Linked DNA regions of Macaca fascicularis. The protein of the gene in region 1 purifies or fractionates together with the protein of each later gene. This does not show direct contact. Links are inferred from orthologs where the notes say so. Each region holds a gene or a part of one and is shown in the gene's direction. Other genes may lie near its edges.

Evidence for each region.
Region 2: the proteins of CPSF6 (region 1) and SRPK2 purify together in Homo sapiens (affinity purification with mass spectrometry; 3 studies listed by BioGRID and IntAct, with this or other methods). This does not show direct contact. The link is inferred for Macaca fascicularis from reciprocal best matches to the Homo sapiens genes CPSF6 and SRPK2.
Region 3: the proteins of CPSF6 (region 1) and NCBP3 purify together in Homo sapiens (co-immunoprecipitation; 3 studies listed by BioGRID and IntAct, with this or other methods). This does not show direct contact. The link is inferred for Macaca fascicularis from reciprocal best matches to the Homo sapiens genes CPSF6 and NCBP3.

What each region holds. Positions count from the first base shown.
Region 1 is NC_088385.1:76,003,887-76,010,089, forward strand, and holds the start of CPSF6 (cleavage and polyadenylation specificity factor subunit 6), read left to right. Parts: upstream 1-2,410; 5' UTR 2,411-2,497; coding exon 2,498-2,557; intron 2,558-6,203. UniProt on the Homo sapiens protein: Component of the cleavage factor Im (CFIm) complex that functions as an activator of the pre-mRNA 3'-end cleavage and polyadenylation processing required for the maturation of pre-mRNA into functional mRNAs.
Region 2 is NC_088377.1:146,650,996-146,656,466, reverse strand, and holds part of SRPK2 (SRSF protein kinase 2), read left to right. Parts: intron 1-152; coding exon 153-399; intron 400-1,001; coding exon 1,002-1,484; intron 1,485-5,471. UniProt on the Homo sapiens protein: Serine/arginine-rich protein-specific kinase which specifically phosphorylates its substrates at serine residues located in regions rich in arginine/serine dipeptides, known as RS domains and is involved in the phosphorylation of SR splicing factors and the regulation of splicing.
Region 3 is NC_088390.1:3,889,112-3,895,123, reverse strand, and holds the start of NCBP3 (nuclear cap-binding protein subunit 3), read left to right. Parts: upstream 1-2,504; 5' UTR 2,505-2,527; coding exon 2,528-2,710; intron 2,711-5,644; coding exon 5,645-5,710; intron 5,711-6,012. UniProt on the Homo sapiens protein: Associates with NCBP1/CBP80 to form an alternative cap-binding complex (CBC) which plays a key role in mRNA export. NCBP3 serves as adapter protein linking the capped RNAs (m7GpppG-capped RNA) to NCBP1/CBP80.

The sequences.
Region 1 (6,203 bases):
CACAAATAACAAGAAATACACTTCCAAGCACACATGGTAAGAGAACAGAAAACTAAAGTCTAAGAGAAAAATCTTAACAACCAGAAAAAATAGGACCAATTAACTCCAAAGAGGCAATAGTCAATTGACAGCTGACTTTTTACAGACAACAATAGAAGTCAGAGCCTTGAAATAATTTTTTTTTTTTTTTTTTTTTTTTTTTTGAGACAGGGTCTCACTCTGTCACGCAGGCTGGAATGCAGTGGTACAATTATGGCTCACTGCAGCCTCAATCTCCCAGGCTCAAGTGATCCTTCCAACTCAGCCTCCCGAGTAGCTGGGACTACATGTGCACACCATTATGCCTGGCTAATTTTTTTATTTTTTTGTAGAGACAAGGTATCCCTATGTTGCCCAGGCTCGTCCCAAACTCATGGGCTCAAGCAATTTTCCCTCCATGGCGTCCCAAAGTTCTGAGATTACAGGCATGAGCCTCCATGCTGGCTGGAATGGTTTTTAATTGTATTGAAAGAAAATAAACTGCAATAGAAATCTTTGCATCTTCTCTGATTCTACTGCCTCCCTCTCTCACTTCTAAAGACCCTTGCAATTACTTTGAGCCTACTGGGCAATCAAGGTATCCCTATCTCTATCTCAAGATCCTTAACTTCATCATATCTGCAAAGGTAACATATTCACAGATTTCAGGGATAAGAATATGAACATCTATGGTGGGCCATCATTCTACCACACCACCAATCTAGAAAATGCTCTCGTCTTTAAACTTCAGTGTCTCTTTTCTTCTATAACGCCCTATGAAAGAAAGTGAATCAGTATTTAAGTACTGATTCTTGGAACAGGACAGGGCACTTTGCATATTAACTCATGTTAACTCATTTAAAGTATCACCAACCTTCAGCCTTGGTGAGGTAGATATTATTGCCTGGATTTTAAAGATTCTGAGATTGATTATGAGAGTTGAAAACTTGACTGAGGTCATTTAGCTGATAAAATGTCTGATTAGAAATGGGTACCCAGATCTGGTCTCCATGACTGCAACCAAGCTTTTTCCACCATACCAAGTGCAGATTGAGTCTTTTTTATGCAAAATGCTTGGGACTAGAAGTGTTTGGATTTTGGATTTTGGTGGATTTTGGAATATTTGTGTATACATAACATATCTAGGGGATGGGACCCAAGTCTAAACGAAATTCATTTATGTTTCACATATACCTTATACACATAGCCTGAAGATTATGTCATACAATATTTTTAGTTATTTTGTGCATGAAACAAAGTTTTGATTGCATTTTGACTGCAACCTGGCACATAAGATCAGGTGTGGAATTTTTCACTTGCGGCATCATGTCAGTGCACAAAAAGTTTCAGATTTTGGAGCGTTTCAAATTGTTGGATTAGAGATGCCCAACCTTACAGATGTTGTTTGGGTTATTCTATGGATGATTTCTCGCCAGTTTCTCAGGAAACACGCTCTACTATAGTATATTTCTTAATGAGTGAAAAAGAAATAAAGAACGGAGGGGAAAGTTTCAAACTGGAGAGACATCCTTGAGTAAAGTATCGTGGCTGAATGTTCCTACCTTTATTGACCATGTGACCTGGTTAAATCACTTAGGTTCTATTAGGCTTCAGTCTTCTCCTCTGTAAAATGAGATGTTTGGACCTAAGGACACCTTTCCAGTTCCCTTCCCGCTGGGACATTCTAGGATTCTGAGAAAGAAGCCCCTGGCCTCAAGAGACCTCCACCCTCTTGGGTGTGCTGTAAGATGACTGCATTCATTTTAGAAGCATCTGAACTATGCCAGAGACAACCTACTGTAGATCTAAGGAAGAAAAAATGAAGGGCAATGAATGCGAGAGGAAGGGGAGAGGAAAGAAGCCCATGAAGATTAGAGATGGAAATGGCAACATAAACAGCGTGCAAATATAACCACTGACGGGTATCTAGCGTTTACATGCAAATAAAACTCTGCTTGTCTCTGAGGATGCAGAAACAACACATTGTTTTTGGCCTTAAGCCGCTCACAGAATGCCCGGGGGTTACACTTTGTATTTAACCATGAACATATAACTTCCACCTTTAGCAGTCCTGCATGTGTGAAAGGTAAGAAAAACGGATAAATGAAAATATTAACAAAACGTTTGAGTATGGCAGAGGCCACGTGAAAAGACGATGTGTGGAAACAGGTGGGACCCACTGGTAAACTGGATGCGCGAGGAGGACAAAGAAATTGCCCCCCACTCCCGGGCCTCACCCAGACACAAAAGAAACGCCCTCTGCCCTTAGAGGAGCAGCCTTTCCTCAGCCAGCCGAGCGGCTGGGTTGCACAGTCCCCGCCCCCGGCCGGCCCCTGTCGCTCCCGCCTCCATCCCTCGGGCCTCGGAAGTGACGCAAGCGCCCCCCACCGCCGCTAGATCCGCTGCTGCTGCCGCGGCGGGCGGACCTGCAGGAGGAGGCGGCGGCGGCGGCGGCGGTGGCGGCCGAGGCTGAGGGAAGATGGCGGACGGCGTGGACCACATAGACATTTACGCGGATGTGGGCGAAGAGTTCAACCAGGTACGTGAGAGCCCGGGTCCCCGTCGCCGACGCGGGCGGCGCTGCGGCTGGGACGCTGACCCGGGGCCCGCTGCGGCCGCGAGCCGAAGCGACTGCAGACTATGCGCCCTTGCCGCCTCTGGGCCGCGCCGCGACCCCCGGCGTGGCGGCCCCCCCCCCCCCGCCCTTCGTTCTACCGCGTCGTTTCACGGGCCGCGGGCGCGGCGACCCGTCGCGGGGCCCGGAGCGCGGATGCGGGCCGCTGTGCAGCTGCCGCCGGCTCCTCCCTCGCCGGCGCTGCCTCGCTCCCTATTGTTGGCGGCACCCGGCTGGCGCTTCCCGCCGCGCTAGGCCCGGGCGGTGGGGCCGCGTGTAAGCGGCGGAGAGAACTGGCCGCCGCCGCGCCCCCTCCCCCGTCGCCGGCCGGAGGAGGAAGCCCCGGCAGGGCGCGCGCCCGCCGCCGCCGCCCCTTCCCCGCCGCTGCTGCTCGGGCTCAGATTCCTCCCATTGCTCCATTTTGTCTCCCTACCCGCGCACTATCGCCTCATGGAAGGCCGCATTCACGGCCCTTTGTATCCCGCGCGCCCAGTCCCTGGGGCTCTCCTCGAGTTTGCGACAGGTTTCGGCGTGGCGCCTTCCTCCTCCCTTCACACTTTCTGAAGGCGGCTGAGGTGCAGGCTTGTTTGCAACAAGTCATTTGACTTTTGGAGCCACAGATAAAAGTCGGTGCGCTGGTCCTGCCTTGTTAATCCAGGGCTTGCAATGCCTTTGAAGCCCAGTCGTTTTTGGCCTTTGTTATGAAAATACCTGTGAAGATGGGTGGCCGGGGACCTAAAGGAAGATTGGAAGCGCGATGTTTGGATGGAACAAAAAGATGTTAGCTCACCCACAGGTCTCATAGTGATTAAAATGAAAGAACGTTCACCCCAAATCCTATGATGTGGTTTAAAAATAGAGTTGTAGATAAGACCCTGTTTTCGAAAACAAAGTGTTAAATCCCCCGGCCCTGCATTACCTTTTGAAAGGTTGAGCGAAAGTGAGAATGCAAGGTTTTCCTGAACGACGTTGCTTAGAGGTAACGCGGAGCTGTGATGTCTGATAATGGGCATCCTTGCAAAAGATGTCGTTTGTTGCTAGAGTAGTGACGTTTAAGGTTTGAACCTGCTGGTCGTATCTTTACTGCATTTTATGTAGTAACACATTTAAAACAAATTGTGCCTAACTGCCGTGTTCCTAAAAGCTTTATTTTTTTGTATTTCCCAGGTCCTTATGAGAAGCTTAATAAAATAATACTGGCTTAATGTGTTTTTTTCCCCCTCCATTAACTGTCATATTCGTGACTAGTTGCTCAGGCTTTTTAAAAACAAGGAAACTCAAGAGCTCTTTACTGTTTTATTTTTCAGGAATGACTTTGTTCTGGTTTAAATATTAGAAAACAGAAAACTACTAGTTGGCTTTAAATGTTTGCTACTCCGTTGAAGACTGGATTTGTTTAAATGTAATACATTGTAATGAAAGGTTAAGTTTTTAAATTTTTGTGTTTTTAAAATTGTGCTTGTTTTAAATAATAATGCTTGAATTGTGTCAGTTACAAATCAGATACATTCCTCGACTGCAACACAGATTCTAACGCTTATAAGACCTCTAGGAAATTTTTTTCCTTTTATTTATCAAGTGAATGTAACAGTGCGTTTAGAAGAGGGCCGTAACTGCAAGGAACAACGATTAAGTGTTCAAGGCTGCCCTTGTTAGCTTTTCTTACAAGAGAATACTTTGCTTCACCTTTCTATGCACAATAAAAGAAGAATTGGGACACAATTTTAGAAGTTAAACTTTTTTCAGTACCTCTTAATGAAATATGTTTGGGCTTTTGCATTCTTAATTTGCGAGGGACATCTCCCTTTTCCGGATAGCTGGGTGGATTGTTATCCCTGTGCAGTAGCAAGTGCTGACTGGGCGGGAGGTAAGAAGAGATTAGTTTTGTGGACCCAATGAGGGACTCCTTTTAAATGTAACTTTTCAACGATTTGTATAAGGTACGTACCACATATCTAACACAGTTGTATAATTTTGCCAGTAAGATCTTTATATGTTTGAATAGATTGATGGCGAGGATACATAGAGGCATTGTTTTTGCTACTTTGCATATCGTTGGCCAATCAATGATTGATTGATTTGTATATCTTTTTGCAGTACCACTGCTTGCTGTGGTAGTTCCTGTACCAAAAAAAAAAAAAGTCACAAAAGGATAGTTGGTTATTTTCAGAGCTTATCCTGCTTTTAAAAATGTTACTGTCATTGAAATGTTTTTCCAAAATTTTGCCACCATTAGAGGCAACCACAAAATAATTTACAACTGATTTAATCTTTACTAGCTGGTGACCTTATTTCTACTAGTTGCTATGGTAGACTTGACCTCTTGTTTTATTGTTGAGTAAAATACTTTCCTAAGTATTAGCCAGTTTTGACTTATTTTGGCTTCAAAACTGTTGTAAACATTAAAAAAAAACTTTGTTTTCCAGTGTAAACTGCAGTTCTAATTGGATTTGTGTACTTTGAAATTCGGCATAGTCTTTATTTCCATTTTCTACTATTTTTTTGTCTGTATCCTGCTGAGTCTCATATTTTAAATGTCATACTTTTATGAAGCTTGTTTGTATTTTGGTAAGGTACAGTATTGTTTCAAAACGTGATTTGCATCTATTGAAGTAGAAAAAAGTGAGGCATTCAACAGTCTTAGCAGAAACTAATTTGTTTGGGGATAGATTGAGAATAATAATTTAGTGAAGCTCTAATAGAGTTCTTTTCTTCACCAGGTGAACTTAAGAATGGAGAATGAAGGGGGAGGAGGCACAAGGGACTGACTAATCCTTATGGGTTCTCTTTAATTCTTAGAGGTCTTTGGATGTCACCAAGTTGAGAACAGTTGGAAGGGCAATTTGAACGTCTTGCAAACCTCCATATTACTTGAAGTTGAGAAGAAAGTGATTCTGTCTCACACTCAATAGTGTGTCAATTCAGTTTAAACTGGGATTTATACTCAAGTGTAGTAATTACTAGCCCAATATTTAGTAAATGTAGATTTTAAAATTCTGGCCAAAACTAAATAATTTAAAAGTTGAATTGTTTAGGACGAGTGTGGTGGCTCATGCCTGTAATCCCAGCACTTTGGGAGGCCGAGGTGGGCAGATCACTTGAGGTCGGGAGTTCCAGACCAGCCTGACCAACATGGTGAAGCCCCATCTCTATTAAAAATACAAAAATTGGCCGGGCATGGTGGTGCCTGCCTGTAATCCCAGCTAATCAGGAAGCTGAGCAGGAGAATCGCTTGAACCTGGGAGGCAGAGGTTGCAGTGAGCTGAGATCAGGCCACTGCACTCCAGCCTAGATGACAGAGCGAGACCCTGTCTCAAAAAAAAAATGTTGAAAATACATTTCTTAAGTGTCTGTTATGTGCCAGCAACGAGGGATACAAAGTTTAGGTAGTCTCTACCCTTAGAGTACACTGGAGGGGAGCTGAGAGATACCTACATACAGTAGTCCACACGTATCCACAGTTCCACTTTCTGTGGTTTCAGTTACTCGTGGTTCTGAGGGCTGAAAATATTACATACAGTAAGGTACTTTGAGAGATACTATATTTAGGTAACTTTTATTACAGTAAACT
Region 2 (5,471 bases), on another chromosome or scaffold:
AAAGTAGATCTGTCTGGGTTTGGGATTTTAGTAGAATATGGCATGAGAAAGCAGAATTTATTGGTATTTGCCGTGCTGCTAGCAGTTATACTATCATGTGGTACTTTAAAAAGAAGAAAACTGACCTGTGGTCTTTTCTTAACATGTTATAGATAGGAAAAATATCTAAAAACAAAAAGAAAAAACTGAAAAAGAAACAGAAGAGGCAGGCTGAGTTATTGGAGAAACGCCTGCAGGAGATAGAAGAATTGGAGCGAGAAGCTGAAAGGAAAATAATAGAAGAAAACATCACCTCAGCTGCACCTTCCAATGACCAGGATGGCGAATACTGCCCAGAGGTGAAACTAAAAACAACAGGATTAGAGGAGGCGGCTGAGACAGAGACTGCAAAGGACAATGGTCAGTGGGGCCTCGAACCTGTGCTGCATGGGGTCCTCAGAGCTCCATTAGTAGGGTCCTACCCAGTCAGCTTGGGGGCTGATTTGTGCTGCTGCTGCAGATGACAAGTCCGATTCTCTCCAACTCCCTACTGGGAAATATGGGAGACAGCCTTGTACTTCATCATTTGTGAACTGTATGCCAGAAATATGTTAACATTTCAAAATAGTTTTTAAAAAATGTAAAACGTCTGAGAAATACCATGTTTCTGTCATGCTAATGATGGTGCTTTATTTTGTCATTAACTTTTTACCTAACTGTAATGCACCACAAGTCTATTTCTGAAGATTGTAGAAGGTAGAAATGGAAGTGCAACTTTATTTAGAAAGAGTTATTTTCCCTTAAGGGTAACTTTTTCTTATAAGAGCAGGCCAATTATTAAATGAATGAAAAATGAGATTTAGAAAACCTGAAGCTTTTACCCCAAAAGCAAAGAGGTGTTTACTAGGTGGTACATAAGTTAAACACATTCAAAACGTGTTTTATTGATGGAGATAAGTACTTAGTGAGGCCGTATTAAGGACAGTAACAAGTTCTTATTCTTGACCCATCAACTTCTTAAGGTGAAGCTGAGGACCAGGAAGAGAAAGAAGATGCTGAGAAAGAAAACATTGAAAAAGATGAAGATGATGTAGATCAGGAACTTGCGAACATAGACCCTACGTGGATAGAATCACCTAAAACCAATGGCCATATTGAGAATGGCCCATTCTCACTGGAGCAGCAACTGGACGATGAAGAGGATGACGAAGAAGACTGCCCAAATCCTGAGGAATATAATCTTGATGAGCCAAATGCAGAAAGTGATTACACATATAGCAGCTCCTATGAACAATTCAATGGTGAATTGCCAAATGGACGACATAAAATTCCCGAGTCACAGTTCCCAGAGTTTTCCACCTCGTTGTTCTCTGGATCCTTAGAACCTGTGGCCTGCGGCTCTGTGCTTTCTGAGGGATCACCACTTACTGAGCAAGAGGAGAGCAGTCCATCCCATGACAGAAGCAGGACGGTTTCAGCCTCCAGTACTGGGGATTTGCCAAAAGGTAAGTGTTCTTCCCATCAACTGTCTGCCATTACTGACTCCAGGGACGTGCCGTTAACAAATGCTATGAAGGAACTGGCTGGAAGTGGCCAAGCCCTGTTTGTGTGTGCTAATCATTTTTATTACTTTTATACTCATGAAGAAGTAATGTGATTTAAATACATGTTCTATGCCACTAGACTATCTCTTGCTCTCTGCATACCAAATCTTATTTCTGATCAGTTCTCATTTTTAATATATTTATAGTCAGCAGCATCATTTGCAAAAACTGGAAGGTTTTTGTAAAAAGGTTTTTGTAAAAAGATGTAAAACTACATCTTTCTAGAATGTGTAGTTTAGTTTATCATTTGTATCTTCTTCTATCTGATATTATTATAGTTTTTTTTGTTTTGTTTTGTTTCTATTCAAGAAAAGTATACCTCCTCTTTGACTCTATTGAGAAAGAAGTGTCATATTGTCTTTTGATATTTGTTCCTGATTATAGGACCCTACTATTGATAACGGGCCCAGGATTGTAATTTTCAAGGAATTGGCATGGATTTAGATGTGATGACAGATTATAGGTTGGCTCTTGTGTTCTTGTCTACCTAAGAAGGCTTGACTTATTCAAACCTTTATTTTGGGAGTCAATGCTGAGTGACTCTAGTAAGTGAAACTGGGTAACACAGTTGGTTTCCATTCTGACTCATGGTGGAAAAGCTCTGAAACCTCCTCTGCTCCCTCTGCTGACAAGACTGTTTAACACACAGTGAGTAATTGATGAGCCAGCCGTGCAAACCACCCAAGACATTATACAGCCCCTTTGGTTCCAGAGTCTGGAATTGCACGCTAAGTGAGCTGGCTTTGTTACACGCTGGCTATGATGAATCCTCCTAAGGATTTGCTTTCTTTACTTGGCTGGACGTGGTCAGCTCCTGTTCCCCTGTATAGGGAGTGTTTGAAGGTGCTTACATAGAATGTAGGTTCATGTCTGGGAAAGGGCAGTAGCGAGATGTACCTTATCCAGATTTATTGTTGCTGTTGCAGTTCAATTTTTCTCTTGAGGTTTCTTTTTTCTTTTTGAGATTGAGTCTTGCTCTGTTGCCCAGGTTTGAGTGCAGTGGCGTGATCTCAGCTCACTGCAACCTCTGCCTCCCGGATTCAAGCGATTCTGCCGCCCCAGCCTCCTGAGTAGCTGGGATTACAAGCATGTGCCACCACGCCTGGCTAATTATTGTATTTTCAGCAGAGACGGGTTTTCACCATGTTGGTCAGGCTGATCTCAAACTCCTGACCTCGTGAGCCACCGCGCCCGGCCGAAGTTTCATATAGAAAGTAATTTACAAAGTATCTTTTTAATTATTTCTATTTTATTTATTTATTTATTTATTTATTTATTTATTTATTTTGAGACAGTCTCAGTCTAGTTGCCCAGGCTGGAGTGCAGTGGTGCAATCTCAGCTCACTGCAACCTTTGCCTCCTGGACTCAAGCAATTCTCCTGCCTCAGTCTCCCGAATAGCTGGGATTACAGGCGCCTGTCACCATGCCTGGCTAATTTTTATATTTTTAGTAGAGACGGAGCTTCACCATGTTGGCTAGGCTGGTCTCCAATGCCTGACCTCAGGTGATCCGCCCTCCCCAGCCTCCCAAAGTGCTGGGATTACAGGTGTGAGCCACCATGACCAGACCAAAGTACCTTTTTTATTTGTACTTAGTTTGCAAGTATTAGCTTAGGCTGCAGTGGCTTCAGTTACAGCCAACCCTCCGTATCCATGGGTTTTACATCTGTGGATTTCACATCCATGTGCTCAGCCAGCCTCAGATGGAAAACAGTTGGAGGGGAAAAAAAAAAACCTGTGTCTTTATTGAACATGTACAGACTTTTCCCCCTTGTCATTATTCCCTAAACAATACAGTATAACAACTATTTACATACCATTTACATTGTAGCAGGTATTATAAATAACTAGAGATCAACTAAAGTATATAGGAAGATGTATGTAGGTTGCATGCAAGCACTATACCATTTTATATCAGCGACTTGAGCATCTGTGGATTTCGGTGTCCTCAGGATGTCCTGGAACCAGTTCCCCGCAGACACCGAGAGGCACCCACGTATCATCAGATTAATCCCCAGCTCAGAACTTAATAACTGTGGAACTTTGGTTTCTTATCCTGTCTGAGCCTTGGCTTATTCCTCTATCAAAGGAAAGAAATGGCTACCTCTAGGGTTGTTAGTAGCACTGAGTTAAATACAACAGGTCAATGGCAAAGGTAGATAAATAACATACAATAATATATTGAAAAATTTCCCATTGAATGTAAGTTGCCTTGGTCATCACAATCCATGTAAAGGAGCACAATTGCTGCTTGTTACCACGTGGTCACCATCGAGGCCCAGGCAAGTCATAAAACTTACCCTGTTGTTTACATGACAGCTCCATCTCTGTCACAGGAAACTTCAAACCTTACATGTTAAAAACCAGAATACAACTCACCCTGCCAACCTGCTACACATGCTGTATTTCCTGCGCTTGTTACCACCATTTCTTGTTGCGTCAGTGAGAAACTTGATCATCAGTATGTCCCCCTTTTTTCTCTCACATCCAGTAAATCATCTCGTTTTGCTAGTCATACCTCATAAGTAGGGGTCCTGCTTGCCTTGGCCCTACAGTGGGCACTGTCATTGCTTGCCTCTGCTGTTACGGAGGCTCCTTACTGGTCTCTTGGCTTTGTGTTCTCTCCAGCTTTTCTCCCCACCTGCCTTTCAGCATGCCCTTCCATGGTGCTGCTAGAGTGTCTTTGCAGTATGCTTACCCGATCAGTGTATTCCCCTGCTCACAGTTTCCACAGGTCCCCATCATCTACAGCAGTGGTCTCCACAGTGGAGAGTGTACATCCCTGCATAGCCAGCACCATCCAGGAAGGTGCAGGAAGGAATTATTAGAGCATCTTTGTATTTTTTTTTATTTTGAAAGACTAGTACAATAAACAACTCTGTATCCTCCACATAGATTGAGCAATTAACATTTTGCCACATTGCATATACTTTCTTTACACAGACACTGCATGCTACACATATTAGGATACTTCACTCCTAAATACTTAAGCATTCATCTTCTGAGAGATGAATTAGGATGTCCTCCATTGTAACAATAATACTATTATAACGTGTAAGAATAGCACTAATTTTATATTATTAAATATAATAATATAGAGACAGGGTCTTGCTCTGTCGCCCAGGCTGGAGTGCAGTGGCGTGATCTCGGCTCACTGCAACCTCTGCTTTCTGGCTCAAGTGATCCTCCCACCTCAGCCCCCCAGGTAGCTGGGGCTACAGTCGGCACCACCATGCCTGGCCAATTTTTGTCTTTTTGGTAGAGAAAGTAGGGTTTTACCATGTTGCCCATGCTGGTATTCAACTTATGGGCTTGAGTGATCTGCCCACCTTGGCTTCCCAAAATGCTAAGATAATAGGCCTGAGCCACTACGTGCCTGGCCTAATATCATCTATTATTTATTCCATATTCAAATTTCCTCAATAATTCTAAAATTTTCTTCTTAAATTTTCCTGATCCAGGATATGATCCAACACAGTAGCCTGCCTCCTGGGTGAGGGCTTCCTGTGTCCCCAGCAGGCTTAGTTCTCTGTCCCCTCTGCTCCTGCTGGCCATGCTCATCTTAGTTGTATGGGCAGTGCTCTTGTCATTGTCTTCTCATTAGAATGTGAACTCTTAGAGAGTGCAGTGCGTTTTTATCTTTGCATCCTTGGCATCTGATTCAGTGCTAAGGTAAATATTTATTGAATAATGAACAAACAAATGAGTGATACCTTGTTGTATTCTTCTTCTCTTTCCTTTCTCCCACTTTTTTTCCATTTATAATCACAATTTTACTGTGTCCAACACACATACCATCCCCAACACCTGTTGCATCAGTTAGAAACTGGAGGTCTTGCAGAGCGTTTTAATATTGTCAAATTCTAGGGATGTACCAGTGACAGGATC
Region 3 (6,012 bases), on another chromosome or scaffold:
ACTGACCAATTACATATTCATTCAGGTTCCCCTTCAAACTATTCTTCACGTTTCTACCGGTTTCCCCATCTACTAACGACTGGATAACAGCTTTGACATGTATTCATTTGACATCTGTTTGAGAGTCACGTTTTTTAACTTTTTGAAAATTAGGCTTTACCACCTTCCTAAATTCTCTGTGGCTCCAACTCAGCAGGGCGGCACTGCGAACAGGAAAGGGGGTGGGAGACGGTGAGCAAGGTGACCAGAAAGAACAAGGCACAGAGGGCTTTCCTGACAAGTGCTAGGAGCCTTGATGATTGCCCGATGTCCCGGCTTGTCCTGGACTCCTCATGTACCTGCCAGCTGGTGTGCCAGGGCGCTGGGGCTCTTCTGAATGGCACCAAACTGCAACACTGAATCCTCACTGAATTGAGTCCTCAAGCAACAAGGCTCCTCCCCAGCAGGGAGAAGGGCCTGCCCAGCCTTCCTCTCCCATCCTCTCACCCCACAGACCTAGTAATGGTGAGAGCTGTGACTGTCACCTATAGCTGGCCACCCCAACTACACATTTTGCTCGAAATAACACACACACACACACACACACACACACACACGCATTCTATGTATGCATTCAACCCAATTTTTTAAAATTTGTTTTGGAGACAGAGTCTTGCTCTGTCGCTCAGTCTGGAGTGCAGCGGTGCGATGTCAGCTCACTGCAACTTCCACCTCCTGGGTTCAAGTGATTCTCCTGCCTCAGCCTCCCGAGCAGTGCATGCCACTACACCCAGCTATTTTATTTTATTTTTTTAGTAGAGATGGGGTTTCACCATGTTAGCCAGGATGGTCTCAATCTCCTGACCTTGTGATCTGCCCGCCTTGGCCTCCCAAAGTGTTGGGATTCGGGCATGAGCCACCATGCCCGGCCTCAACCCGATTTTTAAAACTACTTTGTATCCCATTCATCAAATAAAACTAGTCCTCTAAAGAGCTGTGTCTTGTGTTTATCCTACGATTTAGCCCAAATTTAAGAAAAACTATGATGTAGCCCAAAATTAAGAAAAACCATCCCTTCTGTTAGACCCTGTATCTACATATAAATTATCACATTTAATCCTCACAACCTCCTTTAGAGGTAGGTAATGGTCCATTTTACTGATGAAGGAACTGAGACTCCAAAGTGCTAAGCAGCTTGCCTAAGGTCACACATGGTGGATGGGGCAGGGCCAGCCAGCTCGAAACCCAGGTGTGTCCGATGCGGACCATGGTCTTCCTTAGTTTATCATTATTTGCTCCTCCATGGTCAGCGCTGGCAGGGCCTCAGAGACTGCAGGGTCTCACCTACGCCCTCCTCAGATGCAAAAACAGACCCAAAAACCTGTCCAAAGCTACCCAGGGAGGAAGACGCAAAATCAGGACTCAGGCCAGGCGCAGCGGCTCACGCCTGTAATCCCAGGACTTTGGGAGGCCGAGGTGGGTGGATGGCTTAAGGTTAGGAGTTCGAGATCAGCTTAGCTAACATGGTGAAAGTCTGTCTCTGCAAAAAATAAGAAAGAAAGAGAAAGAAAGAAAGAAAGAAGGAAAGAAAGAAAAGAAAGAAAGAAAAGAATGAAAGAAAGAAAAGAGAGGAAGGAAGAAAAAGAGAAATGAAGAAAAGAAAGAGAAGAAAGGAAGGAAGGAAGGAAGAAAAAAGAAAGGAAGAAAGGAAGAAAGGAAGGAAGGAAGAAAGAAAGAAAGAAAGAAAGAGAAAGAAAATCAGGACTCAGAACCTAACAGCTGATCAGTGACACCCTCGGGATGCCTAGACAACCCCCCTCCCCCACTAGGCTAGAAGTATCCGCAGGAAACTACGCTCACAGGTCTACAGTGGATGGCACCCTCAGGAGTCAGGAAATCAGTGTCCAAGTTCTGGCCTTTGGGCAGGTCTCAAATTTTGTGTATGTAACATGGGCCAATTTTGGGGAGACTTTTAAGAGACAAAGGCAGGCAAGGCAAGTAACGTTATAAACCTACAGATTGCCCAGAGGTGATATATCAAGGCTCATCGTAAACTCCGGAAGACTTAGATCCAGCTTTTATCCCTTAAATGGCGTCACCTCGGATCAATTTCTATACCTCAGTTTCCTCATATATGAAATGGGGGTCATAATGGGATCTACTTCATAGAGTTGTTCTAAGGGTTCGAGCGCTTGGAAGTGTCTGGCCCATGGTGATCGCTCAGTAAAGGTGGCTTTTAGTACAGGTTTAGCCTCAAGGCGTAGCTACATTGTAACCCTTGACTACCCCGGTCTCCTCCAAGCTCCGTCGCTCCCGCAGGCCCCGCCCCCGTCCCCGCTCAGTCCCGCCTTCTCCTCCCCAGGTCCCGCCCGCGCAGCACGCCCGGGTTCCTCCCGCCACCAGGGGGCGGCGGCGCTGAGGGCGGCCTTCTGGCCGAAGCCGGCGACGCTCTAGGTAGCTGCGGCGGCTCCTCTGTGGCCAGTGGCTGCGGCGCTCTAGCCGGCGGCCGTAAGGGGCGGGCTCTCGGTGGTGCGGCCGGCAGGCAGCTATGGCGGCCGTACGGGGCCTGCGGGTGTCGGTGAAGGCGGAGGCCCCGGCGGGGCCAGACCTGGGGCTCCCGTCCCCTGAGGCGGAGTCGGGTGTTGACCGTGGCGAGCCGGAGCCCATGGAGGTGGAGGAGGGCGAGCTGGAAATCGTGCCCGTGCGGCGCTCGCTCAAGGAACTGATCCCGGTACGGGCGGGGGTCGGGGGGCAAGGAGGAGGTCGCGGGGCTAGTGCCCAGCGCCGGAGGGGGCCGGAAGGGGCGGTGGCTGGAGCCCCAGCCGGGGAAGTCTGGGGAGCGGGAGAGAAGGGAGCCAGCGTCCTGGGGACGAGGGCGCCGGGCTGGAGGAGGGACGCGGAGCGGGAGAAAGGACGCCGGTGCGCCGGAAATGGGTGTTGAGGGGGCTGGAGGGGGTGGCGGAGAGCTGGGAGAGAGTTGAGGACCCCCCTCCGCTGCCCCCTCCGAGCCGTGCTGTGCAAAGGGGTGAGTGAGGAGTGTCTGGAGGGCTGAGATAAAGGGGGAGCCCTGGGCGGGAACAGAACCGGGAGCAGCCCAGAAGGAGCTGTTGGGTGGCGCCAGCAACCAGGTCTCTCCTGTGGGTCTTGCCCCGGAGGAATTTGTATCTGTGAAACATGGCACTCGCTCTTTCTCTTGGGAGGGCTGCACTTGTCAGCAGCAGAAACTCACTGTTTCTGTCGTGACTTCAGGGTCATCTTGCGCCACCCGCCCCCCACCCCCCCACCCCCCCCGCCGCAGCTCCACTGGCACCTACACCGTGGCCCCAGCATCTCACTCTTAATGAAAGTAAACTAGCAAACGATCAATAGACGCCCTTGATCCCTCATTTACCGCGCTGGGGATGGTGAGGTGTTTTGCTTGTGACTTGGTGGCTGTAGATCCAGTTCTTAGAGCTGATTTGAGGCCTGGATGACTCCTCTTAATTTCTAACTTAATATGAACTACTTTTCACCACATGTCAACATATTTAGACTGAAGTTATGGAGAAAGGTTAAGGTATGATCGCTAGAGATGGCAAACGTTATTGATTATGATTAACAACAGCTAATATATTAGCATTTACCATTCACTACATTGTGTCACTTAAATATACTGGCCATGCACACCTTTAGTGCCAGCTGTTCAGGAGTCTAAGTTCCAGACCAGCCTCAGTAATATAGCAACACCCCTTCGAGGTCCCTCCTTTCGCCTCTCCCCATCTCAAAAACAAAACAAAACCAAAATAAGTATCACTGCAGTTGTGAAGTAGGTGTTATCATCCTTTCAGTCATTCAGTTCGACATGGTTTTTGTTTTGTTTTGAGACGGAGTTTCGCTCTTGTTACCCAGGCTGGAGCGCGATGGCGCAATCTCAGCTCACCGCAACCTCTGCCTCCCGGGTTCAAGCGATTCTCCTGCCTCAGCCTCCTGAGTAGCTGAGCCCAATGGTGCGATCTCGGTTTACCACAACCTCCACCTCCTGGGTTCAAGTGATTCTCCTGCCTCAGCCTCCCAAGTAGCTGAAATTACGGGGGTGTGCCACCATGTCCAGCTAATCTTGTATTTTTAGTAGAGACAGGATTTCTCCATGTTGGCCGGGCTGGTCTCGAACTCCTGACCTCAGGTGATCCTCCCGCCTCTACCTCCCAGAGTGCTGGGATTACAGGCATGAGCCACCGTGCCTGGCCAACATGTATTTATTGCATCCCCCACTATGTACCAAGACACAGCCCTAGGTGCTTGATCAAGATCAACCTCCCTGCTGGAGTGTATGCTCCATATAAACTCTCAATGACAAAAAGGAGCCAACCTTGTGAAGACTGAAAAGGGGTTCCCCCAGCCGGGGCAATAGCAAGCACAGAGGGTCTGGGGTGGGTCCAGGATCGTTGCAAAGTTCTGTAGCGCTAATGGAAGGGCAGTAAAAGAGGTCAGGAAGGCAGGTAGATACCACGCAGGAAACTGGGACCCAGAGAGGTCAAGGAAACTATACAGTGTCCTGTAATTAGTGACCGTCAGAGCTGAGGCTTCCGTCCTCGCTTGGTTTCCAAATCCCATCCCCTTTGCATTGCACTGTGCTGTATTTGCCTCAGGAATTCTAGGTGAGGCTGGACTTCTGCATTGAGGTGGAGGGTTGGGCTCCACCTGGTGGCTGGGCATGGGGAATTCGTTCAGACTAGGTTGGGGAGCGAAGTGACTGTGCTTCATCTTTTGACATTTTCCACAAAAGCCTTTAGATTTTTCTGTACATGGATACTTTCAGTTGATGGAATCACTTCAGGTTTTGGACAGGCTCTGCTCTTCTTATTGGAGTGGTTGATTGATACCATGGAATCACTGGGATGGGGCTTCTTAATAAAAGGTTGTCAGGGGTGGGGAAGGGTTTTGAAAAGAATGACTCTTCAAAAAGAACCAGACTGGCCAGGTGCGGTGGCTCATGCCTGTAATCCCAGCACTTTGGCAGGCTGAGACAGACAGATCACCTGAGGTCAGGAGTTTGAGACCAGCCGGCCGACATGGTGAAACCTCGTCTCTACTAAAAATACAAAAATTAGCTGGCCATGGTGGCGCACACCTGTAATCCCAGCTACTCAGGAGGCTGAGGCAGGAGCATCACTGGAACCCGGGAGGTAGCAGTTGCAGTGAGCCGAGTTTGCACCACTGCCCTCCAGCCTAGGTGATAGAGCAAGACTCCATCTCAAAACACAAACACATAAACAAAAAGAACCAGACTCTGGGTGGTGGCTCATGCATGTCATCCTAACACTTTGGGAGATTGAGGCAGGAGGACTGCTTTAGCCCAGGAGTTGGAGACCAGCCTGGGCAACATAGGGAGACCCTGTCTCTACAAAAATTAAAAAAAAAATGAGCTGGGTGTGGTGGCATATTCCTGAGGGCCCAGCTACTGGGGAAGCTGAGGTGGGAGGATGGCTTGAGCCTGGGGAGTCGAGGCTGCAGTGAGCTGTGATCATTCTACTGCACTCCAGCCTGGTCAACAGAGCGAGACACTGTCACAAAAAAATAAAAATGAAAAAAAAATAAAAAAGAAGAACCAGCTGTCAGCCCGACTTTTATCATAGGTTTTTCCTCAATTGCTGTCTGAATTTCTCACCCTTCCCCTTTGTGTTAGGACACGAGCAGAAGATACGAAAACAAGGCTGGCAGCTTCATCACTGGAATTGATGTCACCTCCAAGGTAAGACAGGCTATGATTTATTTATTCGCTTGATAAGCAAGTGAACTTAATGAACTTGATCCCTAGGACTTAACAGTAAATATTTCCTCTTTTCTTTTGTTGCTGGATTTAAATTTTCTTTCTAAAAAAAAAATGGTGTTATTGGCCGGGCACACTGGCTCATGCCTGTAATCCTAGCACTTTGAGAGGCCCAGCAAGTAGGTCATTTAAGACCAGGAGTTCGAGACCAGCCTGGGCAACATAGTGAGACCCGTCTCTACAAAAGATACAGAAATTAGCTGGGTGTGGTAGTGCAGGTCTGT